Arabidopsis thaliana: one gene and its partners. The protein of the gene in region 1 purifies or fractionates together with the protein of each later gene. This does not show direct contact. Each region holds a gene or a part of one and is shown in the gene's direction. Other genes may lie near its edges. The genes, in order: AT5G10540, AT1G79870, HDH and OASA1.

What was found.
Region 2: the proteins of AT5G10540 (region 1) and AT1G79870 fractionate together in Arabidopsis thaliana (co-fractionation; one large-scale study listed by BioGRID). This does not show direct contact.
Region 3: the proteins of AT5G10540 (region 1) and HDH fractionate together in Arabidopsis thaliana (co-fractionation; one large-scale study listed by BioGRID). This does not show direct contact.
Region 4: the proteins of AT5G10540 (region 1) and OASA1 fractionate together in Arabidopsis thaliana (co-fractionation; one large-scale study listed by BioGRID). This does not show direct contact.

The regions. Positions count from the first base shown.
Region 1 is NC_003076.8:3,322,587-3,328,262, forward strand, and holds the start of AT5G10540 (Zincin-like metalloproteases family protein), read left to right. Parts: upstream 1-2,225; 5' UTR 2,226-2,391; coding exon of another isoform or gene 2,392-4,347; 5' UTR 4,348-5,532; coding exon 5,533-5,652; intron 5,653-5,676. Other genes in the region: RBK1 (ROP binding protein kinases 1), read right to left, coding at 51-63; AT5G10530 (Concanavalin A-like lectin protein kinase family protein), read right to left, coding at 2,392-4,347. UniProt on the Arabidopsis thaliana protein: Oligopeptidase that may be involved in the degradation of proteasome-generated peptides. Binds salicylic acid.
Region 2 is NC_003070.9:30,042,635-30,046,988, forward strand, and holds AT1G79870 (D-isomer specific 2-hydroxyacid dehydrogenase family protein), read left to right. Parts: upstream 1-2,111; 5' UTR 2,112-2,159; coding exon 2,160-2,582; intron 2,583-2,698; coding exon 2,699-3,217; 3' UTR 3,218-3,514; downstream 3,515-4,354. Other genes in the region: ROPGEF12 (RHO guanyl-nucleotide exchange factor 12), read right to left, coding at 1-200, 300-563, 670-744, 830-984, 1,068-1,458; La2 (RNA recognition motif (RRM)-containing protein), read right to left, coding at 3,588-3,672, 3,822-3,876, 3,969-4,113, 4,197-4,354. UniProt on the Arabidopsis thaliana protein: Catalyzes the NADPH-dependent reduction of glyoxylate and hydroxypyruvate (HP) into glycolate and glycerate in the cytoplasm, thus providing a cytosolic bypass to the photorespiratory core cycle. Mostly active in the presence of NADPH and hydroxypyruvate.
Region 3 is NC_003076.8:25,564,931-25,570,967, reverse strand, and holds HDH (histidinol dehydrogenase), read left to right. Parts: upstream 1-2,761; 5' UTR 2,762-2,863; coding exon 2,864-2,939; exon of another isoform or gene 2,940-3,088; coding exon of another isoform or gene 3,089-3,122; coding exon 3,123-3,232; intron 3,233-3,314; coding exon 3,315-3,367; intron 3,368-3,450; coding exon 3,451-3,523; intron 3,524-3,621; coding exon 3,622-3,723; intron 3,724-3,795; coding exon 3,796-3,897; intron 3,898-3,993; coding exon 3,994-4,065; intron 4,066-4,156; coding exon 4,157-4,219; intron 4,220-4,314; coding exon 4,315-4,416; intron 4,417-4,503; coding exon 4,504-4,614; intron 4,615-4,743; coding exon 4,744-4,914; intron 4,915-5,002; coding exon 5,003-5,368; 3' UTR 5,369-5,537; downstream 5,538-6,037. Other genes in the region: AT5G63900 (Acyl-CoA N-acyltransferase with RING/FYVE/PHD-type zinc finger domain-containing protein), read right to left, coding at 597-2,270; VPS20.1 (SNF7 family protein), read right to left, coding at 5,710-5,735, 5,831-5,972. UniProt on the Arabidopsis thaliana protein: Catalyzes the sequential NAD-dependent oxidations of L-histidinol to L-histidinaldehyde and then to L-histidine.
Region 4 is NC_003075.7:8,516,784-8,522,686, reverse strand, and holds OASA1 (O-acetylserine (thiol) lyase (OAS-TL)), read left to right. Parts: upstream 1-2,090; 5' UTR 2,091-2,355; exon of another isoform or gene 2,356-2,550; intron 2,551-2,620; exon of another isoform or gene 2,621-2,623; 5' UTR 2,624-2,636; coding exon 2,637-2,669; intron 2,670-2,756; coding exon 2,757-2,866; intron 2,867-2,953; coding exon 2,954-3,011; intron 3,012-3,091; coding exon 3,092-3,355; intron 3,356-3,446; coding exon 3,447-3,584; intron 3,585-3,681; coding exon 3,682-3,733; intron 3,734-3,862; coding exon 3,863-3,942; intron 3,943-4,049; coding exon 4,050-4,109; intron 4,110-4,196; coding exon 4,197-4,277; intron 4,278-4,385; coding exon 4,386-4,478; 3' UTR 4,479-4,727; downstream 4,728-5,903. Other genes in the region: AT4G14900 (FRIGIDA-like protein), read left to right, coding at 135-310, 413-928; FdC1 (2Fe-2S ferredoxin-like superfamily protein), read right to left, coding at 1,336-1,800; SECE1 (secE/sec61-gamma protein transport protein), read right to left, coding at 4,906-5,439; OFP11 (ovate family protein 11), read right to left, coding at 5,608-5,903. UniProt on the Arabidopsis thaliana protein: Acts as a major cysteine synthase, probably involved in maintaining organic sulfur level.

The DNA.
Region 1 (5,676 bases):
TTCCCCCACTTTCTTAACAAAAAGCAAACAAATTTTATGTTTAGGTTTACCTTCAACAGCCATAGCTCCAGTGGGTTTTTTTTTCTTTTTCTTTCTTTCTTCCTCTAATAAGCCTTTGAATTAAATTTCCATAAAAAAACAGATTCACAGAAAATAAGAAAGGATACAAAACAGAGAGAATTATCGAAAATACAGAGCAGAAGAGAAACAAGAAAACAGAGGTTTAATGAGAAGTTTTGTAGAATTCTTGTTTTGTTTCTTATGAGAAAAAAGTTTGTTATTCTTGGAAGAAATAGAAAGTTAGAAGAAGAGTCAGCTTTTGCTGAGTGGAGATGGATTGGAATCTCTGCTATATTTATACAACTCCACCGTAGCAATTCAACTTTTGTTTTTATTTTTTACTTTCAACTGCAAGTCAAGTCAAGTTTTGTTTTTCTTGTTTTGTTTTTTGTAATTTCTTGTTTCTAAATTAGTAGTCCTATGATTTTAATAATTTTGAGGAAGATGAAAGGATTAGAGATTGTTGCCGTAACTAACGCATTTACGATGTAAAGAACTCAAACGGTTGATATATCTGGCTGGTTTGTGGGCATTTTCGTCATATAAAATAAGACATCACCTTTGCTTGTAATGAATTGAGAGTTAATATTAAAGGGATTTTGTTATGATTATATTTCACTCAAATTCTATTCTCCGCAAAATAGCTAATTCGTGATTCGTGATTAAAAAAGAAAATTAAATAGCGCATGTGATATTAAATAGCTCTTCTAATTTAGCAAACCTTGTTATTTTTTTCTTACATTTTTGAGCTTTTTGTTTACATGTAGAATGAGATTGAAAGTGTCGGAACATTAGGTTTTAGTTAATTTTGGATGACATTTTTTGCTAGTATGATTTAAAATTATTAAAACAACGAAAATTAGTAAAAGTTAAATAAAATTCTATAACCAAGGAATAAAAAATATGGATTTGCACTTATAGAAGTTGACAAAATCATTAGTTAAAAATTCGACAAATTGTGAGTGTGCTGTCTGTTTCTTCTTCTTTATATTTTCAATTTTTTCGTGGCGGCATAAAGAGAGGAAACATATGGCAGACAAATTTGACTACAAAATTAAGCCATCGTATCATTGATATGATTTTTTAATATTCAACTATTACTAGAATATTTGTATTCACAAATACTATCACTTTCGAGCCATAATACTAATACAAAAAAACAAGTTTCTACTACATAATCCCTGTTATTTGAAAGTTAATAACAAGAGCTATCCATTCGTAATGATGGCTACAATTGTTTTGGTTTACGAATAAACTATACTACTATTTTAGTAGTTTTCTTTCTCAACGTAACCATTGTCAATTTTTCATGCGTGACAATTTGGACCCACCTCAAACTTGCACCAATGGCCATATGGGATGCCATAATAAACACAAATCTTACTTTATAATATGAGGCGTGGATAGATCCTTAATTTTCGAGGATTAAAATGACTTTATGAGTTTACCATCACCTAAGGCGTGGAGAAAAAAAAAAGAGTTATCACCCGAAGGCATTAAAATCAACCACCTTTCCGTGAGACAAACCCAAGTGAAATGTTTAGTACTTGTCTATCTCAAAACGCCAAAGTCCAAACTCAATTCATTACATTGAAACTCCATTAGTAACAGTTAGGTTTTGTTTCTCAGACGTATATAGTCCATACGCAAAAGAAAATTCTTATATATACTACTTATAGTTTTCATGGTAACATCATTAAGTAAATTACAAATATAATAATCTACAATGACTCGGTTTTCTACTTATAAAGTTTGTTGTCTGAAGTAAACTAGTTCTAGTAATTTAGAACTAGATAAAAACAAACGATCGCAGTGTAAGTAGGGAAGATTAATTGTGTTAGTTGGTGAACTAAACCCGTTAATATATACTACCACAACCATTAATTTCTATCTTAATTTTCTAAAAAATAATATACGCCCAAAAATTAAATCGCCACCAAACTCACCAATGTGAATTTTCAGTTAGAGAAGTCAGTTCAACCGATTTTCTCAATGGCTCAATGCTATTGACATTTATTCTTCATTATTAATATTATGATTCTAACTCCCAAAGAAGCGTCTGTAGCTCAGTGGATAGAGCGTCTGTTTCCTAAGCAGAAGGTCGTAGGTTCGACCCCTACCTGACGCGTTTATTTTGTATCCTTTTATCAAAAAAAGTTTTATAAGCCCATTAGCCCAGCCCAAAAGAGTCGAGACACCAGAAAAACTGAAAATAAGACCTTGTCATTTTTTAGCACAAGGACCGAGTACAAACAGTGAAACACACACACGCACACACAAGAAACAAGAGTAAGAAAAAGGCTATATTACACACAGCAACAAGGGATCTGCTCAACGACCATGTTGAGCACTTGAAAACGTTACCGTAGCTCCACCAGAGCTTACCGATGTAGTATTCGAAGAGGATACATGATATGTTGCGACAGGCATTTTGGTCGGAAGATGAGGCACTGGTGCTTCAAGATTCAAGACTTGGATTGCTTGTTTTATTGAAGGCCTCGTGTTTACATCAGGATGAGCACACCATAATCCTACAATCATGAGACATTCTGCTTGTTTCTCATCGAAACCACCGATCCTGAGTTTCTCGTCGATAGCTGTAATAACTTCTCCTTTTCCATAAAGGTCCCACATTTTCTCTACAAGGTTTGTTACAGGCTCTACTCTTCCTTGTCTTCGATCCACAGATTTTCTTCCTGTAACAATCTCTAATGTAACCACTCCAAAGCTATACACATCAGATTCTTTGCTCGCCCTTCCGGTGCTTATGTATTCAGGAGCCATGTAACCAAATGTTCCTGCTAACCCTGTAGTCTGTGGACCTAGCTCGTGGTCCATCAATCTAGCCAACCCGAAATCACCAAGCTTGGCATTGAAATTGGAGTCGAGCATCACATTACTCGCCTTGATGTCTCTGTGTACAACACACTGCTCCCACTCCTCGTGAAGATAAAGCAGTGCAGAGGCGAGACCGAGAGTTATTTTGCATCTCACATGCCAAGCGAGATGCGGCTTTTTACCAAATAGATGGGCGTCAAGGCTACCATTTGGCATGAACTCGTATATCATTAGAAACTCATCTTTCTCATGGCACCAACCAATGAGTTGCACAAGGTTTCGATGTCTCAAACTGCTGATTATCTTTACTTCGGTTACGAACTCTCTTTTTCCCTGCTTAGACCCACCCGCAAACTTCTTTATCGCAACCATCATATCTAAGCTGTTTAAGTACCCTCTATAAACCGCTCCAAACCCTCCTTCCCCTAGCTTCCTATCATCTGCGAAATTGTTTGCAGCTGATGCAAGATCTTTATAAGTAAACTTTCTTGGTCCTGCTCCTCTTTCGAGATCTTCATTTATCGATGTTAAGTTTTCTGTCTCCTCTGCTTTCTTCTTCTGCTGCTTCCGTTTCAAGAAGACGATGAGCGAGGTAATAAAAAAGGTCAGCAAAACGAACCCAGAAACTGAAATACCAATTATCATCCCCTTCTTGTCATTCTGACTTTTCTTTATATCTATTAGCTCCAGGCTTGAACTGAACTCCCATGACAGAAGTCTATTTCCCTCGGTGACCCCTCCAGATGTCGCAGAAAACCCAATTGTAACTTCTGATGGCAGTACCTTTGAGAGATCAATGATGTAAGATAGGCTTGAATTCTCCAGAGGATCAGATGTTAAGTCGTAAGTCCAAGAGACACTCAAGTTTCTTCTAGCGGAATCATAGAATATCAGGACACGGCCTATATCTTGGTTGTGTGACGTTGCATTCCAAGAAGTGTAGTTAGAAGAAACAAGAGAGTTGTTGTTGATTCCTACATGGGATTTGACATCGAGAGGATCCCATTCTGGATTAGTAAATGTGTCGAACTCGACATAAACAAGTGGGAAAGCAGAAGACTGATTATTGGTTCCATTGAATAGACCCAAGAAACCACCAGCTGAGTTGGGAGGCAATTGGATTCTCGCTGGAGCTAGAAAGAAAGCAAACCCATGACCGTAATTACCATACCCAACATTACGGGTATCAATTCTGAAGGAGAAACGCGTACTAAAATCCGAAGGCTTACTGGTACCTGGATTCCATAAAGGAACCTGCTTACCATAAGTAGCCCAACCGGCACGGCATGTGTAGTCAATGTTGGTAAGCTCAACAGCCCCATTTGCTCTTGCATCTCCTTGGTATGCTATTTCAGAAACATCTGATCCAAAACGAGATATGTTAAATTGAACTGAACAGACAAAAGGGAGAACCAAAACAAAGGAAAATAACAGAATTGAGTTGGCCATTTGCAGGCAGAAACAACAATTAGCTCAAGAGACAAAATTGGTGCAACTGATATGTATATTTATCAGCAAGTCAATGACTAAACCTTGATTATAAGAATGAAATCATTTGAGAGCGTGATCCAAGCTATCACAGGAATTAAATTTTTTGATAAACAACCATAAAAGTCACCATATAGTTGACCCTAAGAGTAAACAGATCATATCTCTGTATTGATTGCTTATAACAGATTAGAAAAATGAGGAAGACATGTTTGATACTCATCCTAAATTGTAAGACAGCTTATGATAATCACAAAGGAACTCAAGTATATCAAAGAGAAGACTTATTTTTTCCTCAAGCCAATGGGTGAACAAGCAGAGTCAAACTTTATAGACTTCAAAAATAAGAAATCACAATCAAAAAGTCCATGTAACACTGATATTTTCCACAGAACAAGTTTATTCACAACCACGATTAGTTATTTGAACATGACATGATTAATCATCAACACAGATGAACCAAACTCAAGAACATGTCAATGCACAGTAAAAAAGGTCAAAAGATCTGTTCTTTTAAGAAATCGATTAAAAACATACACATCAAGAGACCATTATAAGCGAATATACTTCCATCAAGTCAATGCCAAACCTAGGATTAGAAAAATAAGATAGCCAGCTCAACCTCAGATAAAACTAATTAGCATCAACCTTAAAAGTAGTCAACTAAGTCTATCTGTTATCATGAGAGGAATGTGATAAACAATTGTATATGATCTTATCCTACGTGCAAGAACAAACCCAGATACAAAAACAAAATTATCTTTGAAAACGATGTGAAATCATTAAGAAAAAAGTAGGAACTTATTTAAATATTTGTAACCCTGGATCATGGCCATTCAGAAAACAATAAACTTTCTATGACTTATCCAGTTATCTTCATTTTCGTCGAACACTTGGTGAGCATGTCCTTAAACCAACCCAACGAACTACCTGAAAAATCTCCAAGCCCGGTTCAAAAAAAACTCAGAATGATAGAATTTATGATTTGACAAAATTATCCTTTAGCATTAACGAAACGCAAGTTTCTATTATTATCATTTTCGTCCCTCAAGTTTCCCTTAAGTCACATTATTGCCCCATCTGGCTTCCCTCAGATTCACTTCCACTACCGCCGCTTCTCATTCTCTTTCTCGTCAATCTCAATCAATGGCTTCTGAAGATACTCTCTCCTCGAATCCTCTATTGCAGAATTTTGACTTCCCTCCGTTTGACTCCGTTGATGCTCACCATGTCAGACCTGGGATTCGTGCTCTGTTGCAGCAGCTCGTACGTTTCTCTTTCTTTATCATC
Region 2 (4,354 bases), on another chromosome or scaffold:
GAGGCCCAGGGTGCCGATGATTTGTTGTCTTTATAAACCATTTTGCGTTTCCATATAATGATTGATGCCTCGATTCTGTTTTTGAGGTCCACGATCTTGTGCTCCGACGACATGTCCATGCTGCTCAGGAACTGGTCCGGGTCAAAGAAGTCCACCGTTATATTCTTGTACATCTGATCCCCGAGACTCGCCCTCCCGTTCTGTTTATTTATTTATTACAAACTAAACAAGTGAGTATTATTCTTCATCAACTCTTCTAATCAATAACATCAATTGTTGGTGTCTTTTTTTTTTTTTACCTTTGGGAGAGAGTCGATGTAGCTCTCAGGTATCTCCATCTCGAACAAAACCTGTGCGTTTATGGCCATGGCTGCCTTTAGAACCTGGTTTACACAATCTTTCTGGTACTGCAAAAACCTTCTTGAAGCTTCTGATAGACCATCTGGTGGAACTTTGACGGTCGGAATCCACCATTTTTCGTCGTTTCTCTTACCGTCTAAGTCAGGGGAGTCTTTTGAGATATAGCTGAACTCGCTTTGGTCCTTGAAATTTTCTAGACAATCCTAGGTAGAAAAGGGGGATAAGAGGATGCTTTTGAATATCCTAAATGAAATTATTAAAGTAGGGTTGATATTTGGTCAACGAGAGAGAGAGAGAGAGAGGTCTTACGATGAGCATGGCGTCCAGTTTCTTCAATGCGGGGATATTCATGTGGAGGTCAGTACGTTGGCGTGTGGTCATTATCTGTTAAATCAATACCAACAGAATAAGGGAATCATTGTATGTTACCAAATGAAATATAATGCAGCAGCAGCAGCAGATAGACAACCTCCATATTGGTCCCATCTTTATTTTTCTGCTGAGATGGAGCAAACTCAACCACGTAATCGGTCACGGAGAGAAGCCAATCAATCTCTTTTCTCCATCTTGCTCTTCTTTCTGCAGGCATTGGCTCCAAGCGCCGTTGCTCTCCGAACACGGAAGCTATACCAACAAGATAAACATGAGATATTGGTTGCTGGTTAATATAAACTAAGTGTAATAACAAAAGAGGGTCCTAAAGCAACCTGCAAGGTTTGTGATTGCGTTTGAAAGGGCGAGAGCAGAGGATACTCCTTTGCCTCCACCGGAATTGTCCTCTCCCAGCAACAGCTTGGAGAAGCGCTCTTTCATCTGCTCCATGTCTGCCAAAAGCTGCCTTTCTCTAGCCTGTGAGGCGGCGAGGGCGGCGAGGACTGCTTCATCCGCAGCCGATCTTGAAAGTGGTGGACCCTGACTAGGATGAATAATGGTCAATGGTTCAGCGTCATGGGATCCGGTGGCAGCCTCATCTAAACCGGTCTCGACGCTGAGACTCTTGTTGTGTCTCGTAGCACTATTGTTGTCGTTGTTCCTCCATTTGAAATTGAAGAGCCTGCTCCTATAGGTTTCCTGTTCTTGTTCCGAAGCACGAACCATTCCTGGTCTCTTGATGGCAATAGAGAATTAGAGAGGAGAGAGAGAGAAAGAGAGAGGATCAAATGGGCCTCTCTTGAGATGGGGAGAATCAAAAGGGAAGGAGAAGCTAATCGAGCCGCAAAACAATAAAGGGTAATTGTTACAGTGATTTTGGCTTTGAGAAAATTGTGGAGCTTTCTTCTTTTGCTTCCTTTTTTTGGAAGATGGGACGTGGGGCGCATGTTTCAGACCACACCTCTTAATTTTAACTAATCATTATTTAGGATTTTGAACATTGATAATTAGAGATAGAGAGCCGTTTAAATTATAAAATGTTATCATATAGTAACATACTAAAATGTGATTACACCCTTGTCACTGGATTCCCTAAACATGCAATGTCAACGGGGAATCTGCTACGTTTCCATACACATACAGTGTATGTCTTCTTGTGTTTGTATCATGTTCATGAATCCTACAACAATTTGCATGAATATCATCAAACGTGCAATGTTGTCTTTAAACATAAGTCATGATTTCGGAACCAAGAGGAAAACTTGAAAAGGGTCATTTAGTGGCCCATAAAAAGCGGATAATATCAATTATGGGCCCAAAAATAGGCCCATCTTTATCGTCAACCTCCGATAAATTATACACAGACCTCTCACTGACTCAATCATTTGCAGAAGAAAAATAAAAAAAAAAAACAGAGAAAAGGAGATATGGAATCAATCGGAGTCCTTATGATGTGCCCCATGTCCTCCTACCTCGAGAACGAGCTTGAGAAGCGCTTCAACCTTCTTCGCTTCTGGACTTCTCCGGAGAAATCCGTCCTCCTAGAAACTCATCGGAACTCCATCCGCGCCGTCGTTGGGAATGCTTCTGCCGGCGCCGATGCTCAGCTCATCAGCGATCTGCCCAACCTTGAGATTGTATCCAGCTTCAGCGTCGGGCTCGACAAGATCGATTTGGGGAAATGCAAAGAAAAAGGGATCCGCGTCACCAACACCCCCGACGTTCTCACCGAAGACGTCGCAGATCTCGCCATCGGGCTTATCCTGGCTCTCCTTCGACGGCTGTGTGAGTGCGATCGCTATGTAAGGAGCGGAAAATGGAAGCAAGGTGAATTCCAACTCACTACCAAGGTTTCTACTTCTTACCCACTATTGATTGATTGGAAAAGAGCTCTCTGCCCTATCTTATCTTTGGTCTTCTATCTCTGCTTTAGCGTCACATTCTTTCTTTCTTTTGGTTGACTCAGTTTAGTGGAAAATCCGTGGGGATCATTGGTCTAGGTAGAATTGGGACTGCCATCGCAAAGAGGGCTGAAGCCTTTAGCTGCCCAATCAATTACTACTCAAGAACCATTAAGCCTGATGTCGCCTACAAGTATTATCCGACGGTGGTTGACCTTGCTCAAAACTCAGACATCCTCGTCGTCGCATGCCCGTTGACCGAGCAGACCAGACACATTGTGGACCGGCAGGTCATGGATGCATTAGGAGCTAAGGGCGTCCTCATAAACATTGGCCGTGGACCACATGTTGATGAGCAAGAGCTTATTAAAGCTCTAACAGAAGGCCGCCTAGGTGGGGCTGCCCTTGATGTGTTTGAGCAGGAGCCTCACGTGCCCGAGGAGCTCTTTGGCCTTGAGAATGTAGTTCTCCTCCCTCACGTTGGGAGTGGCACTGTGGAAACACGGAATGCCATGGCCGATCTTGTCGTGGGTAACTTGGAAGCGCACTTTTCTGGGAAATCACTTCTGACTCCGGTCGTCTGAGTCATGTGACACATTTGGGATTTGGTTTCACTTCATTTGAAAGGTTTTTATGTTAACGAACTCATGAAAAGGGTAATTTCTCTTCCAAAAGAAAGTTGCACTGTCGTATATAAGGAACGGATTTGAACACTAGGCGAATCCTCTCCGTTTTATGTCTCTTACTCATCTTTCTTTTCACAAAGTATTGGTCTAGTATACGAGTGGCGCATACGGCAATACGTCAAGTCATTAACCATCCCAGACCAAAAAACGTTTACAAAACTACTCATAGATGTCAGTCAAGTGAAGCAATATCTATTTTGTTGAGAATCAGCTGAACCTAAAAAAACGTAGAGAAGAGGATGACATAAAACAAAACCCAAAACTTTAATTAGGGCTCCTTTCGGGCCTTCTTGGTAGGTTGCACGTTTTCAAAACACTCATCTTTGCCTTTTTCCTTTTTGTGACCTTCTTTCCTGATGCACATTAACAAAGAATCTTGGAGTTAGGTTGGTAAACAACCAATGAAGTACCAGCAAGGAGAACAAATGAGTGGTGGTACAAGCCAAATCCCAAGTATGTTCCCTACAATGAAGAATAAACAAGGTTTGGTTTGATGTCATACCCTCCTTCCAGCTCAGCTGATGATAGTCTTTTCCACAACTCTCTCTCCATCTCCCCTGAAGGCCATTAGTACACTAGTCATTTTCAACGTTTCTATGATTAACTCCATTTCTTTGGTATAACTAACACCATGGAATTGCCACCTTACCATTAATTGCTTCTAAGGCTACTGAGAAGTTATTCTTCACAACTAAACCTCCAACAAACTCCACAGCTGCACGGGCTTTCATTGCTGTTTCTGAATCTGTGAACCAAACGTAACCCGAATCCAATCCACCAGAGTATTCTATGTGCTGCAGTAAGCACAGGAAAAGATGATAACTCAACAATCACTTTTTAAGGGATTGGTGGTTTGACAAAAAGTGTTGCAACTTACTTCAACGCTGCCAAATCTTTGAAAAAGATCCTTGAGAACCTCAGAGCTGACAGAATTACTGTTGTTCCATGGGGGAACCACAAGTTGATCAGTGTTGTCCTTGCACAAGCTAGCACATGAGTTATCTCCATTTTCCTTCTCTCTATCAGCAATGCCTG
Region 3 (6,037 bases), about 22 Mb from region 1:
TATGTGAATTGAAGCTTATTTTCTTCCTTATTCATCTGATTATCTTTTGACTTTTGTAAAACAAAAAAGAAATAACAGAGTACAATGTTAAGATCATCTCTCTGTTTTACTGTGAGCTCTGGACTTACTATTCACTGTATCCAATAAATAAGTTGTTTAGAGCGATGTTAGAATCAAATGAGCTGATAGCTTTAGTTTCTGCGGCATGAGCCTAAGATTCATTTATGCATGTCTGATTTATGGCAATGTTTTTTAGTTCAATGGTGGGTCTTTGTGTTTTTAGTGTCTGACAGTGACAGATAGAAAGGAAATTGATACCTCAGATTGAGCAAGTGTGAGTAGAGTTTCAGCATCATCGAGTTAGTGCATTGTCTTGGTTTCTCTAAAGATTTCATATACAAATCCTATAAACAGTAGAGAAAATGAATCCAATTATTTGATTTGATATAACTCACATTCAATTAAAGCAGACTCACCCATTTAAAGACAAACAAAGATGTACCAATTATATATGGACATCAAGAGTTGTTTACTACACATTTTCTCCCCAATATTTAAGATCAATCAATATTACATGACAAAAACCAGGAGACTTGTTATTCTGTGAGACTTGACTCTTCTGCAGAATCATTTTCTGCTCTTTCCTTCTGAAGAAACTTATGGCACATGATGGTACCAACAAAATCAAGCATTCCATGTTTCACAAGCTCCAGCCGCTCCGAACTGTTCATTACAGAGAACCCAAACCGCTCAGTCCAAGTGGTCACAACCTCTTTTGCAGCCGGTAAGACCAGTCTACAAACTCCCATCTGAGACATTTGCTTCTCCAACTCATCCATCAGCACTCTGCACATCCCACTTCTTCTGTAACTAGACAATGTCGCCACCAAAGGGATCTCGACTACATCTTTGTCAACTCTCACTGCTGCCACCGTGATAGGCTCGTTCTTTCTCTCGATCAAGACTGTGTAAAACCCGCGGCCCACTCCAGTTCTGTCTTTCCTGTATATCAGTTCCTCAACAAGGTCTCTCCCAGAGAAAACATCATTGGTAGGCTCAAACCCTTGGTGAAGTATCTCGACAGCAGATTCTAGCTTGGAGATTTGTTCATCATCATAGTGTTCACCTTCGTTCGGAGCTCTCATCAATGTCCAGACCAAATCACCGTCGTTGCCTACTGCAATTTTACTTCCTAGGAGATTCTCAAGCGCGGAAAAGACTCTGTTGCATTGACTACTACAGAACCAGCCTCTACTCGAAACAATGCAAGAGTCTTCTTTCAAACACGTGAGATGGAACCTTCTCTGGCACTGCTCACAAGCCATCAACTTGCTGTTCGCGGGTGATTCCATTGATCCACAGATATCGCAGCAGCAACAAGGACAGAACCAGAGGTCTTCCTCGGGAAGACTAGACAAACCGAGGCAAGCATGGTGAAACGCTGAAGGACAACCATCACAAAGAAGCAAATCTCCACCCCAGTGACAAACACAACACACATCACAGTTCATGTCCGGACTACAATCTTTTCTACAGAATCTTAGAGACTCTTTTTCATGCTTGTTCTTCTGCTGCTTCTTTTCCATCACTTGTAATACCTTCTTCAGAGATTTCACCATCTTCGGCCTCCTTATCTCTTCACTCGCCATCTTCCTTCTCTTCTTCTGTTGCTCATGTATTACATCAACATTGAGACCGATTCTGATCTTCTCTTGGTCCCCATTAAACACAGCCGTATCAGAACCCTCTCTATTCATTATTATCTTCTTCTGTTGTTGTTGTTTTGCTACATCAAAATTTGGAACGATTTTGATCAAATCAGCAGACGGATGATTATCTTTTTCCGGAGCTGTGCTTTTGACATCCAAATCCTCGACCCTACCCCTTTTCTTACTTTTCTTCTGTTTTTGATTCGAAACATCAGAACTAGACTCTGAGGCAATATTGCTTGGAAGGCAAGACAAGTCATATTTGGGAACAATTTGTAGTTGCTGTTGAGAGTCTTGGTCGACACAACTCATACAAGCCTTAGCTAAAGAGTAGAACCACTTTCCCTTGGGAGACTTATAACGCTGCTCTTTCTTGTTCCTTTTGTTATAGTAAGAGATTACCCAACCAAGAGCCGAGAGATGTCTCTTCACCTTGATGGACAAATCCGATCGTCGTTTTCCGTTCTCCGTCATCTTTCCATGCTTTACCGTCGAAAGCCACTCTTCGATGGCTCCTGGACTTAGCTCTGCTTCCATCGGAACAATATCACACGAATTCATTCTTCAAGGAAACACGACTCTCGCTTATCGACTAGGGTTTTAGGCACATATAAGGTTCGAGAAAAATAAGGAAATTTTCCCTTAAACAAAGGGAACAAATCTTATAAAGATTTTATCAGTTTTAAATCTGTTGAATATTTTTTCCAAATATTAAATTAAAAAAATGGAAAACGTGATGCGAAAGTATCTGGAAAAATAGAAATTTGATTAGAATGTTAATTCCTATACATTAAGAAGTACGTGGGCCTTTGGCTCATAAACGTTTTCGAAAAATCTTTATACAGAAAGGCCCATTCTTGTGGAAAAATATAGAATTAGGCCCATAATTTCTTGTTAGTAGTGTTAAATATGGCGAAAATATTAATATATAAGAAAATTAGAATATGCTTCAGTAAAGGCCCAATTATTTTTTTAGCGGTGCAGATGAATGGGCTTTACGGGCCTTAATTGGTTTTGTAAACCTTGTACGTTTTAAGGCCTTTATTATCGTTAAGACAAAACAATCGCCGACTTTAGACTCTGTCGCCGGCGACACTCAAACTCAAACGAACGAACACTGTCCTGATTTGAGGAATCCGGTGAATCGAAACTAGATGTCCCTCAATCTGTCTCGTCTTTCGCTTCTCTCGTCCCCACGTATCTCGATTTCAACTCACGCTCCTCGGAAAGGTCACTCTCTTTTCTTTCACTCTCTGTTTTGTTCTTTATCGCCTGAGAATTGATGTGGATTTTTCAAATTTCAGTTAATCTTAGCTAATTGACTTGAAATTCAATGAAAAGATTCAATTTTTGGTTTAATTAAGCAAGTTGTGAGATAGATGAACGAATTTGTTGACCAATTGCGTTTTACAGGATACGTTTGTTGCTCTATGAAGTCTTATAGATTATCTGAACTTAGTTCTTCCCAAGTTGATAGTTTGAAGTCACGCCCTCGCATTGACTTCTCTTCTATTTTCGCCACTGTAACTTTCAAACTCTTCTTCTTCTTCTTCGTTGACCATTTTCCCACTTCTCTTATTAAGCTCGGTCATATTTTACTATCAGGTGAACCCGATTATCGATGCTGTTCGTAGCAATGGGGATAATGCTGTCAAAGAGTAAGTGACTTATTCTCTGTCTTTCATTTTCACTACTCTTATTCCCTAGAAGAGATGGAAATGAGGATTATATTTTGTTTCAGATACACTGAAAGATTTGACAAAGTCCAGCTGAATAAAGTTGTGGAAGATATGTCTGAGCTTTCTGTTCCTGAGGTAGTTGATTTAACTTTTGTATATAAATGTTTTGAATTCTTTTTCATTTGTATGTTAAATTAATTTCCTTTCTCTGTGTCAATGCCTTTTGTATTCAGCTCGATTCCAATGTCAAAGAAGCGTTTGATGTTGCGTATGACAACATATATGCGTTTCACTTAGCCCAAAAGTCAACTGAGAAAAGCGTTGAGAATATGAAAGTAAGTCAATTTAGTTACACATTACGTTCTTAAGTCTTCTTCACACTAATCTTTAGTCGTGAACTTTGTTAGGGTGTCAGATGTAAAAGGGTGTCAAGATCTATTGGCTCTGTAGGTCTTTATGTGCCTGGTGGAACAGCTGTTTTGCCATCAACGGCTTTGATGCTTGCTATTGTAAGTTCTCATGTTTTATACTTTTGCTTGTTCATTTCTCTTGTAATTTTGTAATAATCTTGTCTTCTTTTTCCTTACCCTATACTTCTCTCTCAGCCTGCTCAAATTGCTGGATGTAAAACAGTTGTTCTTGCAACTCCACCAAGTAAGGATGGAAGCATTTGTAAGGTAGTACTCCGAGCTGTCTTTTTTCCCTGGGAATATCCGATAGTACTTACATTTATCTTACTGCTGAGCTTATGTTTTAATCTTGTTTCAGGAGGTTCTGTATTGCGCCAAGAGGGCTGGTGTTACTCACATACTCAAAGCTGGTGGAGCGCAGGTGTGTCTGTGTTAGTTTTTTTTCGCTTATGTTTTCATGCTGGTGATTGTATTTTTTCTCTCTAAGATTGTAGACATTTCGATTTTGTTTTGCAGGCTATAGCTGCCATGGCCTGGGGGACAGATTCTTGTCCAAAGGTTGAGAAGATTTTTGGTCCTGGGAACCAGTATGTCACAGCTGCTAAGATGATTCTTCAAGTATAGATATCGTTCATCAATTACTTTTGTCCTAACTTGTTTGGAGTCTCTAGACTACTCTTTAACCTGCTTTTTCCCTTACTGCAGAACAGCGAGGCAATGGTCTCAATCGATATGCCTGCTGGTCCTTCAGAAGTCCTAGTTATTGCTGACGAACATGCTAGTCCAGTTTACATTGCAGCAGACTTACTTTCTCAGGTATTTCCATGAAAAAGTTGCAATTTTCAACATAACATATCGGGATGAGTTTGTGTCTGCCTTATTTGTTTAATTCAGACCTACAGAGAGCGGCTAACTTGTACATTTCTTTTTTTGGTTTCTCTGCAGGCGGAGCATGGTCCAGATAGTCAAGTTGTTCTTGTAGTTGTGGGCGATAGTGTAGATCTCAACGCCATCGAAGAAGAAATTGCCAAGCAGTGCAAAAGCCTTCCTAGAGGAGAGTTTGCTTCAAAAGCACTAAGTCACAGTTTCACAGTGTTTGCTCGAGATATGATTGAGGTACCCATCTCTTTACGGTTCACCTTTACTGTTACTATCTCAAAACAACATCTGTAACATCATCACTGTTTGTTCTTTAATTCTCCAGGCAATATCTTTCTCAAATCTATATGCACCCGAACATTTGATCATCAATGTCAAAGACGCTGAGAAATGGGAGGGACTGATTGAGAACGCAGGCTCGGTTTTCATAGGACCATGGACTCCAGAGAGTGTTGGGGATTATGCGAGCGGGACAAACCACGTTCTTCCAACATATGGATATGCAAGAATGTACAGTGGCGTCTCTCTCGACTCTTTCCTAAAGTTCATGACTGTACAATCTTTGACAGAGGAAGGTCTGAGAAACCTCGGCCCTTATGTAGCAACTATGGCTGAAATCGAAGGTTTAGATGCACACAAGAGAGCCGTTACTCTCAGACTCAAGGATATCGAAGCCAAACAGCTTGCATAATCCAATTGAGATTTATATTCAGACAAAAGAGGCAAAAATTCTTTTTGTATTGTATGAACATATTTGGTTTCCTGAGATGGAATAACAATAAAATAAGAGATGTTGGAAAACTCTTACCATAATCTTGTTTTTCATTCTTTAAATCTAAATCCTTCCGTATGTTTGAACCAAAGAGTAAGTTAATTGTGCTAACTTTCCCGAAACACAATGGGATTCCAAATATATCTTGTTCTTTACAAATGACAGCGACTTCAAAGATTATACAGAAAACTTCAGAGAGCACCAAAGAAAAAACTGGTAAAAGAATGATAAAATCGTATTGCTGATCAGTTTCTTCTAGCTCAAGCCGGCAAAGGTTCTTCGAGAACTGCAACACGAAAGTAACAGACCAAATAAAACATGTCTTGAGTTTAGTTCTTGCAATTCTAACAAGGAAAAGAAGAAGAAGACGAAAGGAAAAACCTTTTGTTTTTGTGGCGGACTCAGCTGGTGTGATTTCCGCATTGGAAGCGACAGGAGTTTTTGTTGGCACATCCGGAAGATCCAGCTTCTCAGATTCTTCAGACTCCTTTGTAGGCACTTCAGGCATCTCATCAACAATAAGCTTTAAGCAAAACACACATCAACATTAGTCTCTTTATCTAGTAAAGATAATAATACACAAATTTA
Region 4 (5,903 bases), on another chromosome or scaffold:
TTACCTTTGATTACCATTAGATGTTTTTAGCTATATATTGGGGAAGCACAAGTTGTTGTCTTTTGTCATGGGAATCTGTGAGTAGTATCTGAAATGGAAAATGATGGTTTTTGGGTTGTTATGGCTTCACACAGATATGATTGAAGAGTTGATAATCAGGGGACAACAGCTTGATGCGGTTCATTTCACTTTTGAAGTTGGTCTTGTACACTTGTTCCCTCCTGTTCCTTTGCTCAAAGCTTATCTGAGGGATGCAAAGAAAGCTACAGCTTTAATCACTGATGATTCCAACAATTCTGGCCGATCTGCGGTACTTTCCTCCATTTGTGTTACTCGTTTTCTTTGCTGGATCCATTTGCAGGGATCTGTTTCTTCTGCACTCGCTTACCAATGTATGTGTGTATTTTTCTAGCATCTTGTGGCGCGCAAAGAGCAATCAGCACTTAGAGCAGTCTTAAAATGCATAGAAGAATACAAACTCGAGGAAGAATTCCCACCCGAGAATCTCAAGAAGAGGTTGGATCAGCTAGAGAAGACCAAAACCGAGAAGAGAAAACCAGCCGTGATTCCCGCCAACAAGAGAACCCGAGCAAGCTACAGCGGTCCAATGCCACCAGCCAAAGCAGGGCGTATCACAAACGCTTACGTCTCCTCTTTCCCACCGCCTCCACCAACATTCATCAGATCCCAAAGTCACTCACCTCAATACGGTGTACCAGCATACACCACATCCCCACCTACCATCTACAGCAACAGGAGCCCTCCATACCAATACTCACCCGAGGCGGTTCATGGTTCTTACCAAACCTCTCCGGTCAGTTATCCGACAGCATATGGTACCTACTGCAGTCCGGTGGCTGCTCCACCCCCTCCAGTTTACCATCCTCACCCGCACCACCACCACCATATTCAGCATGCTTACTACTGATTAGACAATGACAAAGGAAAAAAGAAGATGGTAAGTAACCAACCACTGATCTCTGGTGTCTACGTTTTGTCTCTACCTCGTTTTTGTTGTAATCTCTCTTTTTTTATATCGTATCATTTGTAGCTAACACTCTCACTCTTTCTGGTTCTGAATTAGTCTACCCTTGTGTGTTTATTAATCTAAATTATACATATCTATTCACTTTCCTAATGTTTCAATCAACGAATTTAGTTCAGTACTTAATAGATTCATCTTAAACCAGGAATGTTTCACTGTGATTATGTTATGTATCACTGTTTGTATTGGCTCATTGAAATCAAGATTTCGAAGTCTCATAGCAAGATTCGTTACAAAGTGTTCGTATTACACCAAAAAAAAGACTTCTTTAGTCTAAATCAAGAAGATGATTAGTCGTTGGCAGTGGCGAGCTGGAGAGACAAGAGTTCTTCCTCAGGGATCATCTTAATGTGACAATCAGAAGTTGGATACGAAGCACATAGAAGCGTGTAGCCACGTTCAACCACATCATCACTTAGCATCCCACCACTTTGATCCACCGTTCCGGTCACGAGTTTCGCTGGACAAGTCATACAAACACCGAGATTGCAGTCGTAGGGAACGTCAAGGCCAGAGTCAAGAGCCTTAGATAGAATCGTCTCGTCTGGTTCGACTTCCAATTCAGTCGTCTTTCCGTCGTGCTCTACCACCACTTTATATGCCCGAGCTATGATCCTTCCGGTGGTGAGAAAGTTCCGGCGGTTTGTTGTTGTTGAGAGTGTTGCGTTACGGAGTGGGAAGGAGAAGGAATTGGAGAGATAAGGTTTAGGGAGAGAGATTGTAGAAGTTTGAGTCGGGAGAGGAAGAGTCGCCATGAGAGACAGAGAGACGGAGACAAAAGAGTTTTTGTGTCAAGTGAGAGTGATGACTGTTTGTGGTGAATACGGAGATAAGGTTGATCATCGGTTGTAGATAGTGGTGGGACATAAAAACCGAAAACCGACTTAAACCGAAATTCATTAATGCATTAAACCGAATTAACCAAGATCTAATAAAATGAATTTTAAAATTTTAATTATATTCGTAATTAAGGGAAATATTTTTTCCAAAACAGTTTGAACAAATAAATTCAGTATTATTTTTCCATACTCAAAACTCCAAATCGGACTAACTGAAAAAAAGAAACCGAATGTTCAAACCCCAGTTATGGAAAATATTAACCGGACTTAATACGGATATGACCAAATCAGACCGAGAAGTAGTAATTCTGGTGACCAACCACCGCGTTTTTCTAAATTGATAGCGTGTGCCATGTGACTGACACCAAAGAGATCATATATCTCATCATTCGAAGATTTTATTCCATACAACCGATTTTCTCCATTTTCTTCAAAACGATTCGGGTCAAGGTTATTGACTTTCTCATTCAGGTATCATCTTCTTCCTCGTCCCATACTTTTTGATTCACTTGCTTATTCCTCTGCCGGTTTCGATTATATTTGTTTGGATCGGATAATTGTATGGGCTTAAGCTTATTTCGCTGTTAAATCTGTTGATTTGGTGTTAAGAGTGTTGTATAACTGGATTGGTGCTCATACATCTGGAGATTTATGTTTGATGATTTTGTATGATGTGTTTTTGGTTTGAGGATGATTTATTCCTTTGGTCTTACTTTTCTCTTTTTGTGAATTTAAGCAGTGAAGCTTGAATCATGGCCTCGAGAATTGCTAAAGATGTGACTGAAGTAAGGCTTTCAAGTTCTTTCACTGTTCATTTCACGAAGGAGTGAGCTTTGTTCCATGTTCATGTATTGATTGATTCTATTTGGCAGTTGATTGGGAACACTCCATTGGTGTATTTGAACAATGTTGCTGAAGGATGTGTTGGTCGTGTTGCTGCTAAGCTTGAGATGATGGAACCGTGCTCTAGCGTCAAAGACAGGTTTCTTCTCTAGTCCAGAAACTATGTGTTGTTTCTCGCTTCGAGTTTCGGTTTTGTGAAGACCTTGTACTTTGTTTATTTCTGCAGGATTGGTTTTAGCATGATTTCTGATGCAGAAAAGAAGGGTCTTATCAAACCAGGAGAGGTCAGTTTCGATTATCTGAATCTTCAAACCACTATTTTGTTTTTGTTTTCATTGTTTCTGACTTTTTGTTTGTTCTTTAGAGTGTGCTGATTGAGCCAACAAGTGGAAACACTGGAGTTGGGTTAGCATTCACGGCAGCTGCCAAAGGCTACAAGCTTATTATTACAATGCCAGCTTCTATGAGTACTGAGAGAAGAATCATTCTCTTAGCTTTTGGAGTTGAGTTGGTTTTAACTGACCCAGCTAAGGGCATGAAAGGAGCTATCGCAAAGGCGGAAGAGATTTTGGCGAAAACACCCAATGGTTACATGCTTCAGCAGTTTGAGAACCCTGCCAACCCTAAGGTATGCTTATTATTTACTATTGCTTTAGTGTATCTGTTTTTGTCTGTTTTTGAACCATATTAAGTCGATGGAATTTCACTGTCAAATGCAGATCCACTATGAGACTACGGGACCTGAGATATGGAAAGGCACTGGTGGCAAAATCGATGGCTTTGTTTCTGGGATTGGTACTGGTGGTACCATTACAGGTGCTGGGAAGTATCTTAAAGAACAGAACGCAAACGTCAAGGTGAGAGCTCCATCTTTTCGAACAACTGGCTTTGTTATCTAAGTGACTAAGTGGTGTGTCTTTGCACGGTTTCTCATTTTGTTTCCTCTTCTGTTAGCTGTATGGAGTGGAGCCAGTTGAAAGTGCTATTCTATCCGGTGGGAAGCCAGGTGATTTTGGTTCCCCCTGCGTTTATTACGATAACCATGCATGCATGTTCCTCGTTTCTCGGTTTGCCTCATGTCTTATTTTTTATCCTCGGAGTTTCCTAACACATGATGTTTGCTGAAAATATCAAGGTCCTCACAAGATTCAAGGGATAGGAGCTGGTTTTATACCAAGTGTATTGAATGTTGATCTTATTGACGAAGTTGTTCAGGTAAGACTGCTTTTCGATATTATCGACTGATAGCAAAACACAATTGAATGCAAGAGAGCTTCATTTCTTACTTGACTCTCTCCATTTTCCTGTAACGCTTTCAACAGGTTTCAAGTGATGAATCCATTGACATGGCAAGGCAGCTTGCTCTTAAAGAAGGTCTTCTTGTAAGTGTTTCACATTTCACAACAAAAAGCTATCTCCATCAGAATTACAACTTCGTTCTGTTTCTAAAAACAAAAGCTATACTGTAGGTGGGAATATCATCCGGTGCAGCAGCTGCTGCAGCAATTAAACTTGCACAGAGGCCAGAAAACGCTGGGAAGCTATTTGTGGTAAGCTCTTTGATTCTATCATCACCCCAAAGCCAATAAGCTCTGATTACATAACCCGGATTTCTTTCTGATTCTGATGTAAACGAAATCAACTGAATTATTTTACAGGCGATATTCCCGAGTTTCGGGGAGAGGTATCTATCAACGGTACTTTTCGATGCGACAAGGAAAGAAGCGGAAGCCATGACCTTCGAGGCTTGAACATTCTCCATTTCTTCTTAAGAGACGCCAAAATAAAAGAGATGTTCAGTTTCTCCTATAGAGACTCTTCATCTTTAGTTACATTGCGTCTTTGCTTCCATCTGTATCTTCTCTTGTGTGCCAATAAAAGTCAAACTAGATTTTCTCTGTTTCTTTTGTGAACCACTTGCTTGTTAATGAAGTTTAAATTTGCTATGTAACTTTGTTCATAAGTATCATACTGTTTCATGATCAAAACTAAACCAACATAACCCAAGTCAATATTTCAGGCTAAATATAAGATTAGGATAAGAAGAAGGTAATGCTCAAAAGGAGTGATTCCGATAATTCTCTTTATCATCATCTACACAAATCAACAATGTTTCGATTTCTCATTGCAATCACTAAAAATTGTACACACAAATTTTACCATTTTCAATTCACAGGATCAGCTGAAGAAGTCTTGAACACCTCTTCCGATGAACACTCGATCAGAGAGTTCAGCCAAAAGGAAATTGACAGTGAGCAAGACGACGCTAGAGCCAGCGATAACACCGAGCACGACGCCGGTAGTTCCGAGAACTTTCTGAAACGCCGGCCACTCAATCTCCTTCACTTCCTCCGCAACTCCACTAAGAAACTCGTTCTTCCCTTTCTCTTCCTCCGCCGTTTTCCTCTGCTCCATCGCTGCTTTTATCTCTGCTCCTATCGCGCTAATCTCCACTTCCTTATCTTCTCCGCTTCCACTCTCTTCCGCCGGTGACGGAGTCGCTTCTGATTCCGATTCAGATCCAGCTGTATCTCGTCTCTGTTCTATAGCCTTAGCCACAAAACACGCCGATTTCCTCAGATTACTCGTCGTCATAGTTCTTATCTCAGTGTAAACCGGAAATACACGGAGATTAGACAGTGACGGTTTTGTATCCCGGAGACTCCTGGTTATTCCGGTGACCGGCGGCGAGAATTGTGCGGTTAGTGACATTTTTCGAAATTGGGAACTTTTTTAAGTTTTCTCAATTTTAGATTTGTGGATAATTCAGATATCTGAAGACTGAAGTAAATGATCAGATACAGCAATGAGTATAGTAAGAGTTGCTACAATTATTATGGGCCTTATAAAGCCCAAATATTTATTTGAAAAAATTTAAATTTAGGATAAAAAATGCTCTGGCGACGGCGACGGAGAAAGTAACCAGAGGAGCGTATCGGCGAAAGCAGAGACGATGAATCTGTGAGTATGTTTCGGATTCAAATAGAGATAACAGAATAACAGTTCGTGCAAGTATTCTCTATCGGCGACGACGTCTCTCGTTAAATCTCTAGCTTCCACCATCTCTCTCATCGATCTTCCGAAATCTCTGTACGGATCCGGTGACTCTATGTGCTTCATTATCGCCGTCCCGCCGCTTAAAAGCTTCGAAACGGAGGTGGTGGTTTCGTCTTCTT